3 linked regions of the Saccharomyces cerevisiae S288C genome follow. Changing the gene in region 1 together with any one later gene gives a genetic interaction. Each region holds a gene or a part of one and is shown on either strand. Other genes may lie near its edges.

Region 1 (3,359 bases):
CATTAAGATCTTCCCATCCAATTGAAGTTCCCGTTAATAATGCGGACGAAATCAATCAAATTTTTGATGCTATTTCTTATTCTAAAGGATCTTCTTTATTGAGGATGATTTCCAAATGGTTGGGTGAAGAGACTTTTATTAAAGGTGTGTCCCAATACCTGAATAAATTCAAATACGGTAATGCAAAGACCGGAGATTTGTGGGACGCCTTAGCAGATGCCTCTGGCAAGGACGTTTGTTCGGTGATGAACATCTGGACAAAACGTGTTGGTTTTCCAGTGTTATCTGTCAAGGAACACAAGAACAAAATCACATTAACTCAACACCGTTATTTAAGTACCGGTGATGTTAAAGAAGAGGAAGATACAACCATATACCCCATTTTGTTAGCTTTGAAAGACAGTACAGGTATCGATAACACATTGGTATTGAACGAAAAATCTGCTACTTTCGAATTAAAGAATGAAGAGTTCTTCAAGATTAATGGTGACCAATCTGGTATTTTCATTACCTCTTATTCTGACGAAAGATGGGCTAAGCTATCCAAACAGGCAAATTTATTATCCGTAGAGGATCGTGTTGGCTTAGTCGCAGATGCAAAAGCCCTTTCTGCATCTGGCTATACCTCTACTACTAACTTCTTGAATTTAATTTCTAATTGGAAAAACGAGGATTCATTTGTTGTTTGGGAACAAATCATTAATAGTTTATCCGCTCTGAAATCTACTTGGGTCTTCGAACCAGAGGATATATTGAATGCTCTAGATAAATTTACTTTGGATCTAGTACTTAACAAACTTTCTGAATTGGGGTGGAATATTGGCGAAGACGACTCCTTTGCTATCCAACGTTTAAAAGTGACCCTTTTCAGTGCCGCATGCACTTCTGGCAATGAAAAAATGCAATCGATTGCGGTAGAAATGTTTGAGGAATACGCCAATGGGAACAAACAGGCCATACCTGCACTGTTCAAGGCAGTTGTTTTCAACACCGTTGCCAGACTTGGCGGAGAAAACAATTACGAAAAGATTTTCAACATCTATCAAAACCCTGTTTCGTCAGAAGAAAAGATTATCGCTTTGAGAGCTTTGGGCAGATTTGAAGACAAAGAACTTTTAGAAAGGACATTGTCTTATCTGCTAGATGGTACAGTTTTGAATCAAGATTTTTACATCCCAATGCAAGGCATTAGAGTTCATAAGAAGGGTATTGAAAGGTTATGGGCTTGGATGCAAGAACACTGGGACGAAATTGCTAAGAGATTACAGCCAGGCTCGCCTGTGTTGGGTGGCGTGTTGACATTGGGTTTAACTAATTTTACCTCTTTTGAAGCCCTTGAAAAAATTAGTGCGTTCTATAGTAGAAAGGTCACTAAAGGTTTTGATCAAACCCTGGCTCAAGCCTTAGACACTATTAGATCCAAGGCGCAATGGGTGAGCAGAGATCGTGAAATCGTTGCTACCTACTTGCGTGAGCATGAGTATGATCAATAGCTTTTTTTTTTCACGAGCACCTACAACACAAATATATACATATGCCAATGAGTCAAAACCACGTGTAATTAATAAAGAGATTACTACTTGCTTATGTAGAAATATAGTAGCTAGCAGAAAATGAATCTGATAACATCTTCATTGACACATTTCCAAGTATAGAGAACTTTCTTCTGCTTCCTTTCGGAAGAACTGAGTGAATATTGACTGGCGTGCGTCATAGCGAGATTTTTTCATCTGATGATGTATGGAAAAAAAAAAAAAACTTTTTTTTGAATAATGGATGCATCGAGTGACTTTCATTGTTGCGCACGTTGCTTTTCCAAAAATGGTATTAATATAGGTCTTTTATCTCTTACTTCACATTTAACTGCTTGTTAAATAACCCCAGTGTTTTCTTTTTTTTGGATGAATAAGGAAATCAACAGCTGGTACACGCATATACACATATACCATGACCATTGATCTAGCTTCTATCGAGAAATTCCTCTGTGAACTGGCTACTGAAAAAGTAGGACCAATCATCAAATCCAAGTCCGGCACTCAAAAGGATTATGACTTGAAGACTGGCTCCAGGAGCGTTGATATTGTAACTGCTATCGATAAACAGGTCGAAAAGTTAATTTGGGAATCGGTAAAAACCCAATATCCAACTTTCAAGTTTATTGGAGAGGAAAGTTATGTGAAAGGGGAGACCGTGATTACTGATGATCCTACCTTTATTATTGATCCAATTGATGGGACTACAAACTTTGTTCATGATTTCCCATTTAGCTGTACCTCTCTTGGGCTCACAGTAAACAAAGAGCCCGTAGTAGGCGTTATATATAATCCTCACATTAATCTTCTGGTATCCGCTTCTAAAGGAAATGGGATGAGAGTTAACAACAAGGACTATGACTATAAATCAAAATTGGAATCTATGGGTTCTCTAATACTAAATAAATCCGTAGTGGCATTACAGCCAGGTTCCGCTAGAGAGGGAAAGAATTTTCAGACAAAAATGGCCACATATGAAAAATTACTATCATGTGATTACGGTTTTGTTCATGGATTCAGAAATTTAGGATCATCTGCAATGACAATGGCATATATTGCTATGGGGTACCTTGATAGTTATTGGGATGGTGGTTGCTATTCGTGGGACGTGTGTGCTGGATGGTGTATTTTGAAAGAAGTGGGCGGTCGTGTAGTAGGTGCCAATCCAGGTGAATGGAGTATTGATGTCGACAATAGGACATATTTGGCTGTGAGGGGAACAATTAATAACGAAAGTGACGAACAAACAAAATATATCACAGACTTTTGGAACTGTGTTGATGGCCATTTGAAATATGACTGATCGTCAGCACATTAGGCCTAATATAAAATGTACGATTAAAATGACAGTTATTTGAATCATTTTAGCTGATCACAGGGATATAGAAGGTATTGGTAGTAATAATAATAATGATAATAATAATAATGATAATAATAAATAATAAATAATAAAGCGATAGATAATGCTCATTGATTATAGATGTATAAGCAACCGTCTTGGCCAAATAGTCCAAAAACGCCAACTAGAGGCATCCATCCTTCACCTCCTCCAAACCTTTCAGCTAAATGCAAAGCTTTCTCTAAACGATCGGACTCTACTGGTTTACCTATGCTAAAACCACGAATACATAACATACCCTGCTTCTTCTCTATGTTCAAATGAGGGTTTGTTTCCGTTTCTACCATTTTTCCTTCTAATGTTGTACTTAGTGTTCCATAACATACAACGTTATCGTCCACAGATTTTCCAAAAACCCTATAGTCATAAAAATTGGTATGTGCCACAGGTCCCATGATAGCGTAGGGACAATATAACTCGAGGACTAC
Region 2 (3,442 bases), on another chromosome or scaffold:
TCCTGTGGCTCGTATCGAGAAACTACTTCCAGCGGTAAAACACATGTATCAAACAAGAGGCCCTGCTGCGTTCGTCCAGGGAACAACAGCCACCATATTTAGGCAGATAGCTAACACCTCTATTCAATTTACTGCATACACAGCATTTAAACGGTTGTTACAAGCAAGAAACGACAAGGCATCCTCAGTAATAACGGGGTTAGCCACATCTTTTACACTCGTGGCAATGACTCAGCCCATTGACGTCGTAAAAACAAGGATGATGAGTCAAAATGCCAAAACTGAATATAAAAATACCTTAAATTGCATGTATAGAATATTTGTTCAAGAAGGCATGGCCACATTCTGGAAGGGCTCCATCTTTAGGTTTATGAAAGTCGGTATTTCAGGAGGCTTAACGTTCACTGTTTATGAACAGGTTAGTTTGTTACTAGGCTTCTCTTCCAGGTCTTGATAATTTTGTGGATCTTTTACTCTTTTCTGTACATAAATTGCCACTATTTAATTATTTTCTCTACGGTATCTTTTTTAGAACAAATAACTTTCAATTCTTGATTGAAGTTCTAAGGGAAGCAATTCGTGCGCGAGCTCAAACATATCATCAACGTTATTGATAATACCCATATCGATAAACGAATCTACCAATTCCTGTTTTTGTAACGTGCCGATTTTTTGTTTCAAGAAATCCATTATATTTAAAGATTCCTCCTGTATAGTAGACCACGTTTGTTTCGGCAATATTATCCTATTCTCATTCAAAAATTGCCTTGTAAGATGTTTTAGATCCATTATTTGCAGCGGTTTTATAGAAGAACGTCTCACCGCAGGGACATTTAAACGGATAGGATCGTTGCCTATATCATCCAAATTTTCGTCACTGGTGTTTTCAAACGAATAATCTTCGTTTTCTGCTTCTTCTGTCTCCTCTTTATCGTCGCTTGGTAAATCTTCAGATAGTGGTTCTTCCTGTTGCGTTATGGAAATTGGTACCGGATCACGTACTGGCGGTTCATCTACCTGATCCATTCCAATGCTTGGCGACGTGCGCAAAACTTCCATAGAGATACTGTTAGCTTTATCTGGAGAGTGCACTGTCAATTCATCCTCGTGTCCTGTCGTGGGAACATCTTGTATTATTATCGGGTCAATCTTCCTACTTTTCAAGCCTTTGTCTCTTTCCTGCAATTTTGCAAATACTGTTTGCGATAAGGAAGTATAATCAGGTTGCGTTTCATTGCCAATGTTGTTATCTGTCAGTTTCTCACTTCTGCTCCGAAGAAGCTCATTCTCCTCTGGTTGGCTCTCTTCGTACGCTAATTCATCTATTAGATTCCGTGCTTGAGTTTTATTAGTAGTTGTATCGTTGCCTTGTGATTTGCGTGCTAACACTTGGCTTAAGTCTTGTAAAAAACTTCGTACTTCGTTCGGATCTTTATTGAGGATGTCATGAGACTTAGTAGAAGCAGATAAAAGTTTTCTATAACCTGGCGTATTTCTGATCAGTACCTCATCCTTGAGACGTTGTTCTTCAAGGGCTCTCTCCCGAAAGGGGGTTCTGATCTCTGAGACTTCTGTATTCTCGTTGTTACCGGCGGCCTTCCTGGGAGTGCTCATTATTCATTTCTTATTTCGTTACTAATCGTCGTGTGTGTCATTAATCGGTAACGCGTAGCTTCTTAATCTTATTTAGAATATGTAAATAAAAAAAAGTAAAAATCGAAGCCTAAGCATTTTCAATGAGCCAGTTTCAATGAGAAATCAATCACTGGTGTGCCTTGATGAATGCTACTAGTGCTGTAAATGTCAATGTCATCGCACAAATACTCCTCGAGGTTGTCCAAATTCAAGCCTCCACTACATTCCAAGAGGAAATGCTTTTTACCATTCCATTTGTTCTTAAGACTTTGGGCGCACATTTTCAAACCGTCACCTTTGAAATTATCCAACATGATAACGTCTGCACCAGCTTCAATGGCCTCTGTGGCTTCATCTTCACTCAAACACTCCACTTCGATCTTCACAGCAAACCCGCACACGGCCCTGGCGTTCTTAACTGCGTTTGTTATAGAACCAGTAGCCCAAATATGATTATCTTTGAGCATGACCATAGAGGAAAGGTCGTATCTGTGCGTGTCGCAGCCACCTACAAGCATGGAATACTTTTCTAATCTACGTAAACCTGGTGTAGTCTTTCTTGTCCCCGCAATGGTCCCCTTGTAACCAGTCGAACGCGCCAAACTGATTATCTTATGTGAGGCGGTGGCAATTCCACTACTTCTACTAAGGATGTTCAAGGCGGTTCTTTCAGCTAATAGAATGTTTTTAGCGGGCCCAGTAATTTTAGCTACAACAATCTTACCAGAGTCATTCTTCGAAGGCTCCAAGAAGGAGCCTTCCTTAAACAACCACTCAACTTGCAATTCGCACTGATTAAAGACTTCTTGCGCAAAGGGGACACCACACAGCATACCATCCTGCTTACAGTACAAATTGGCCTCCTTTAGGTCGGAACCAACAACATATCCACCAAAATCAAAAGAAGGAACGTCCTCGCTCAGCCAATTGGTGACGTCTTGTCTCCATGCTCCATTAACGGGCAATAAGTGTTCATAAACAGGCATTTTTTTTTTTTGGTGTGTGTTCTTTCTGAGGATTGCGTTCTTTTTGTTGCGTTATTAAGTGGTGTCTTTAATTTTCGAATTTATGGCCCAAGATATACGAAAACTGCGGTAGGAGTCATGATAAATGGGGGCTCTTCAACCAACCGGCGTCACCAAAAGCAAAAATATCCTGGAGCGAAATATCACATTGTTTGTAACCAAGCTTGTACCTTTGACAAGTTAACTTACGTCTTGCCGGGGTTTGCTACTACGCATTCAAGTATATAAAACGTTGTGACACACAAGTTGATAGAAACCTCAGGATGTATAACTACAATTCTAGTTTCCATCTCATTAGTCCCAAATGACAATAAAAAAAATTACTGGCCATGGAAGATGACAAGCCGAATATTAGCTCCTTCGATCGAACTGTGCGTGGAGAAGAAGCTACTACTATTTAATAATTAGTATCCCGTGATTTTGAGCTGTCGCTGGCATTATGTACCTGACATTAGGTATTTAGGAAAGGTAGGGTAGATCAGTTTAGTACCTCAATGGGTGCGGAAGGTTAATCTTGAAAAATTTGCGATTAGTAGACAAGTTTATTCTCACAAGAACAAAATATTCAGTTCATTTCAGATATGATCGTGAAGGTGGAAATCTTTTTTTTAAAAATGAGAAGTGTGCCCAACAAAGAAGTAAAAGACAAGTTAGCTTTCTGTCATGCTTGAAAACTTTATGGAAGCCTGTGCATTGGCATTAGAGGCATCTCCGACAATCAGAAGAACACTTCTTGTTATTATAATTACCCATATATTTTTTTTTTTTTCAAATTGACTACT
Region 3 (3,760 bases), on another chromosome or scaffold:
GTTTAACCATATCGGCAATCAGAACGGTATTCATGACGTTGGCGACACCAACGCATGAGCCAACTAGAATTGAAAAAAAGATGAGTTGAACAAACGTATGAGCGGGGATCCAGAACGCAAACATATATATTGTTAACAAAGTGGTTAATACGATCGTTACGTTTGCCCTACCAAACTTATCTCCCGCTAAACCCATCAGAGGTCTTCCGATGGATTGCGAGCCGTTCAAAATGGCAGTCAATGTGGAAGCGTCGTGCGATGATAATCCTTTCGAGATTGCGTATGAAGATAAAGTAAAAACCATCATATTGTAGGCAAATAATGCGAACATGAACCATAATGCAATAAGTACCACAAATGGCTTAGTTATAACCTTTAATGAAAACATTGCTTTGAGCTGTTCAAACATGGCCCGAGGCGATTTCAATCCTATGGCAGGTGTAGGGTTTCTTTCTTTTAAGAGCGCAATAGCAACTAGAACACTTATGCTACACGATATGCCTATGATACGAAGGCACCACCGGGTATTTCCAAAGTCAGAAAGCATTTTGTTTGTAGCCAAACCGTAAACGACACCACCAGCACCGGTACCCAATAATGAGACACCCATTGCGACAGCTCTTTTTTTCAAGAACCATCCTGGTAAGACGGTTGTTGCTGGAACGAAAATCAGTGATATTGAACAACCGACCATAAAACCTTGGGTGACATACAATTGCCATAACTTGGTAGTAAAGGAGGCCAAGAGATATGCGGCAAGCATTACAGCATCACCAAAAAGCATGGTGGTCCGCAGACCAATTATTCTCATCAGTGCCATCACAAGGGGGGATAAGAGTTGACCGAGAAAGACAGTTAGGCCAGCAATTAAGGCATAATCGTACTTCGAAGCACCAGGGTAAGTATCATGGTTTAAGTAGTAGGCAAGGTCGACACCGAAGGATGCGTTGCAGCCCCACGTGGAAAACATGGTCAAGAACACACAGAATGTCACGACCCAGCCATAACCACCGTCGGGGGGCAGTTCCAGCTGCCCGGTAGACTTGTTGGTGAATACTTTTTTTACAGTCGGTTCATCAGGCTCGAATTCGGTTATTCCTTGGGCCTCAAGATCCTTACCGGAGTGTTTCGTGGAAGCCGGATATAGTCTATTCCTCATGAGTTTGGAGTCCATGGAAGCTTTATGTTCTGTAGTATCATTTTGAATAGAAGAAGCAGAGAAAGCAGAGGAAGATGGTGCCGACAACGAGGCGCCTGCAGTCGTGGTGTGTGTGACTGGGATGTTTAACTTTGACTGGACTGACTCATTGTGCTGTAGCCTAATGGCATCGGCCACGTCAAATCTAGATTCTAATATTTTATTAACGTCTGCGGAATTTTCTTCCGTCTGCAAGTTGTCGTCATCGACAGCCTTTTTAATGTCGTTGAGCCGATTAGTTAACGTCCTACTAATAGACAATTTTCTCGATGCATCGTTCGACTTGGTGCTGTGTAGATCAGAGCATGGAACCGGAGCAGCAATAGAAGCCTTAGAGAATGATACAGGCTGTGAAGAGTTTATCGAAGAAACCTCGGACGATGTCTCAGAGACCATTCCGGAAGAAGCAGAAAAGTAGTCGTTTGAGTGCGTTGACATTTTTCAGATTTATTTTCAGAAGCCCCGTAATTATACCTAAAGAAAAAGTAAAGAAAAGTGGAGAAAACAAAAGAAAAAGATAAAACTTTTAAATATGTGGTGTGACAAATGCAAAATACTATTCTGACTCGCACATTTAACTAACAAAAGAAAATTTGTCTAAGTCTAGCAGCTTTGGTAGAATATAGAAGAAACAGTCTAGTTTTGGCTCCGATATGAGTGGACAAAGCATCAAGATCTAAGGAATGCCAAGTATTTATCCAGGTTCTCCCGAAGACTTTTCTTCAATAGCGGCGGGGGTTTTTTTTTTTTGCAGATTGCCGAGATAGCCCGCGGCAAAGATACGTTATCTCGGTTATCGTCGGCAAGCGCTATTGTAACTAGATATAGGAAACTGTGGTCTGCAAAGATGCGGTATAAGGCCTCCGTCTGTTCTTACTGCGTTATCAGCCTTTGACAGTTTTAGTTCGTCAGGGTCTTTGACCAAATGATAAATTCCCTGGTTTACATTTTCACTAGTTTGTTCTCGAGCAATGCTTAGTTGGCACATAAATGAGTCAGGCACTACCACTCGGGTAACGGTCTGCGCGTTTCTTTTTGCGGCCATGAAATTTTTCAGGCGATGAGCTTAAAGGTAAAGGAAAAAGATGGTAGGATGATAGGTAGGATGAAGCGGTATGAAAGTGGAAGAAGCACAATATAGCACGTCGAAACAGTGCTAATCATGAGCGATGACTTGTTTTCTAAGGCTTTGGAGAATCCCGACCAGGACTTGAACGTGGAATTGCCCAAGGATGATGTTGATTTAGGTCTTTTAGGTGATGGTGGGAACGAGAGGAAGACCGATGAACCGGTAGCAGACGCAGAAAGATCAACAGGCCTAGGATCCGGCTCTTCTGAATCCGAATCAGATTCCGGTTCTGATTCTGATTCTGATTCTGGCTCTTCAGGTAGTGAGGATGATTCTGCAGATCAGGACGTTGAAGGAGAGGACGAAGGTGGTGACGCGATTGAAAATGAAGACGAAGACGAAGACCCTTCACCTTCCGGTCCTATACTATCGAAGAACGAAATACTAGAGGAAACTGTTCCTGAACTACCGGAAGATTATGAAATTTCAGAAAAAACGATCATCACTCCTATTGGTGTTTTGAAGTCTGCATTTGAAAATAATATAATCATTCACGCCACGATGTCGGGCGAAAAGCGTGTTTTAAAAGAGGGTTCCATTTTCTGTCTCGAGGATAGAACTTTGATCGGGATGTTGACGGAGGTGTTTGGACCCTTGCAAAACCCATTTTATAGAATTAAGTTGCCCGATTCAAAAAAAAACTTATTCGATGAATTAAAAGTGCGTTTGGGTGAGAAAGCCTTTATAGTCACCCCTGATGCCCACTGGATAGATACTTTCGAGTTAAAGCGCAACAAAGGTACTGATGCGTCTAATGGGTACGATGAAGAATTACCTGAAGAGGAACAAGAATTTTCCGACGACGAAAAAGAGGCCCTTTTCAAGAAAATGAAGAAACAGCAACGGCAACGAAAGAAAAGGGACAACCGCAAACTAGCCAACGATAGTGACAATGTCAAGGTAAAGAGAGCTCGGCAGCCCAAGGCCAACAGTTTACCTAAACTGGTACCGCCGTTGGGCATGAGCAGTAATGCTCCGATGCAACATGGGTACAAATCAAGAAACGCACGTGAAAATATCAAGCGTGAATCCAGTGCTACCTCTAATCGGAATGGCTCCTCCCCAGTGCCAATCACACAGCACCACCAACAACAGTTTTCTGCAAATAATTATCCCTTCCCTCAACAACCAAACGGTATGCCTTATCCACCATACTCACCTTTCCCTCAGCCGACTAACTTCCAGTATCCACCTCCACCATTTGGGCAGGCGACACCGGCCCAATTCTCCAACACTGTTCCATATGGTAGCTTACCTCCCGCATACAACAATATGTCGCCGCCAACACAGCAGTCGTTCATGCCAATGACCCAAAGTCAACCGCCACTTCCATATGGCGTACCTCCCATGAATCAAATGCAAAACCCAATGTACATCCAACCGCCACCTCAAGCACCTCCTCAGGGAAATGGTAATTTCCAACAAGTAATGGA

The links.
Region 2: mutations in INM1 (region 1) and CNN1 together harm fitness less than expected from each alone (positive genetic interaction), as found in Saccharomyces cerevisiae (one large-scale study listed by BioGRID).
Region 3: mutations in INM1 (region 1) and ESBP6 together harm fitness less than expected from each alone (positive genetic interaction), as found in Saccharomyces cerevisiae (one large-scale study listed by BioGRID).

Annotation. Positions count from the first base shown.
Region 1 is NC_001140.6:196,874-200,232, reverse strand, and holds INM1 (inositol monophosphate 1-phosphatase INM1), read left to right. Parts: upstream 1-1,947; coding exon 1,948-2,835; downstream 2,836-3,359. Other genes in the region: AAP1 (arginine/alanine aminopeptidase), read left to right, coding at 1-1,493; DDE1 (Dde1p), read right to left, coding at 3,000-3,359. UniProt on the Saccharomyces cerevisiae protein: Responsible for the provision of inositol required for synthesis of phosphatidylinositol and polyphosphoinositides.
Region 2 is NC_001138.5:242,546-245,987, forward strand, and holds CNN1 (centromere-binding protein CNN1), read right to left. Parts: upstream 1,615-3,442; coding exon 529-1,614; downstream 1-528. Other genes in the region: MRX20 (Mrx20p), read left to right, coding at 1-454; BNA6 (nicotinate-nucleotide diphosphorylase (carboxylating)), read right to left, coding at 1,734-2,621. UniProt on the Saccharomyces cerevisiae protein: Component of the kinetochore, a multiprotein complex that assembles on centromeric DNA and attaches chromosomes to spindle microtubules, mediating chromosome segregation and sister chromatid segregation during meiosis and mitosis.
Region 3 is NC_001146.8:390,532-394,291, forward strand, and holds the start of ESBP6 (Esbp6p), read right to left. Parts: upstream 1,637-3,760; coding exon 1-1,636. Other genes in the region: NAF1 (RNA-binding snoRNP assembly protein), read left to right, coding at 2,361-3,760.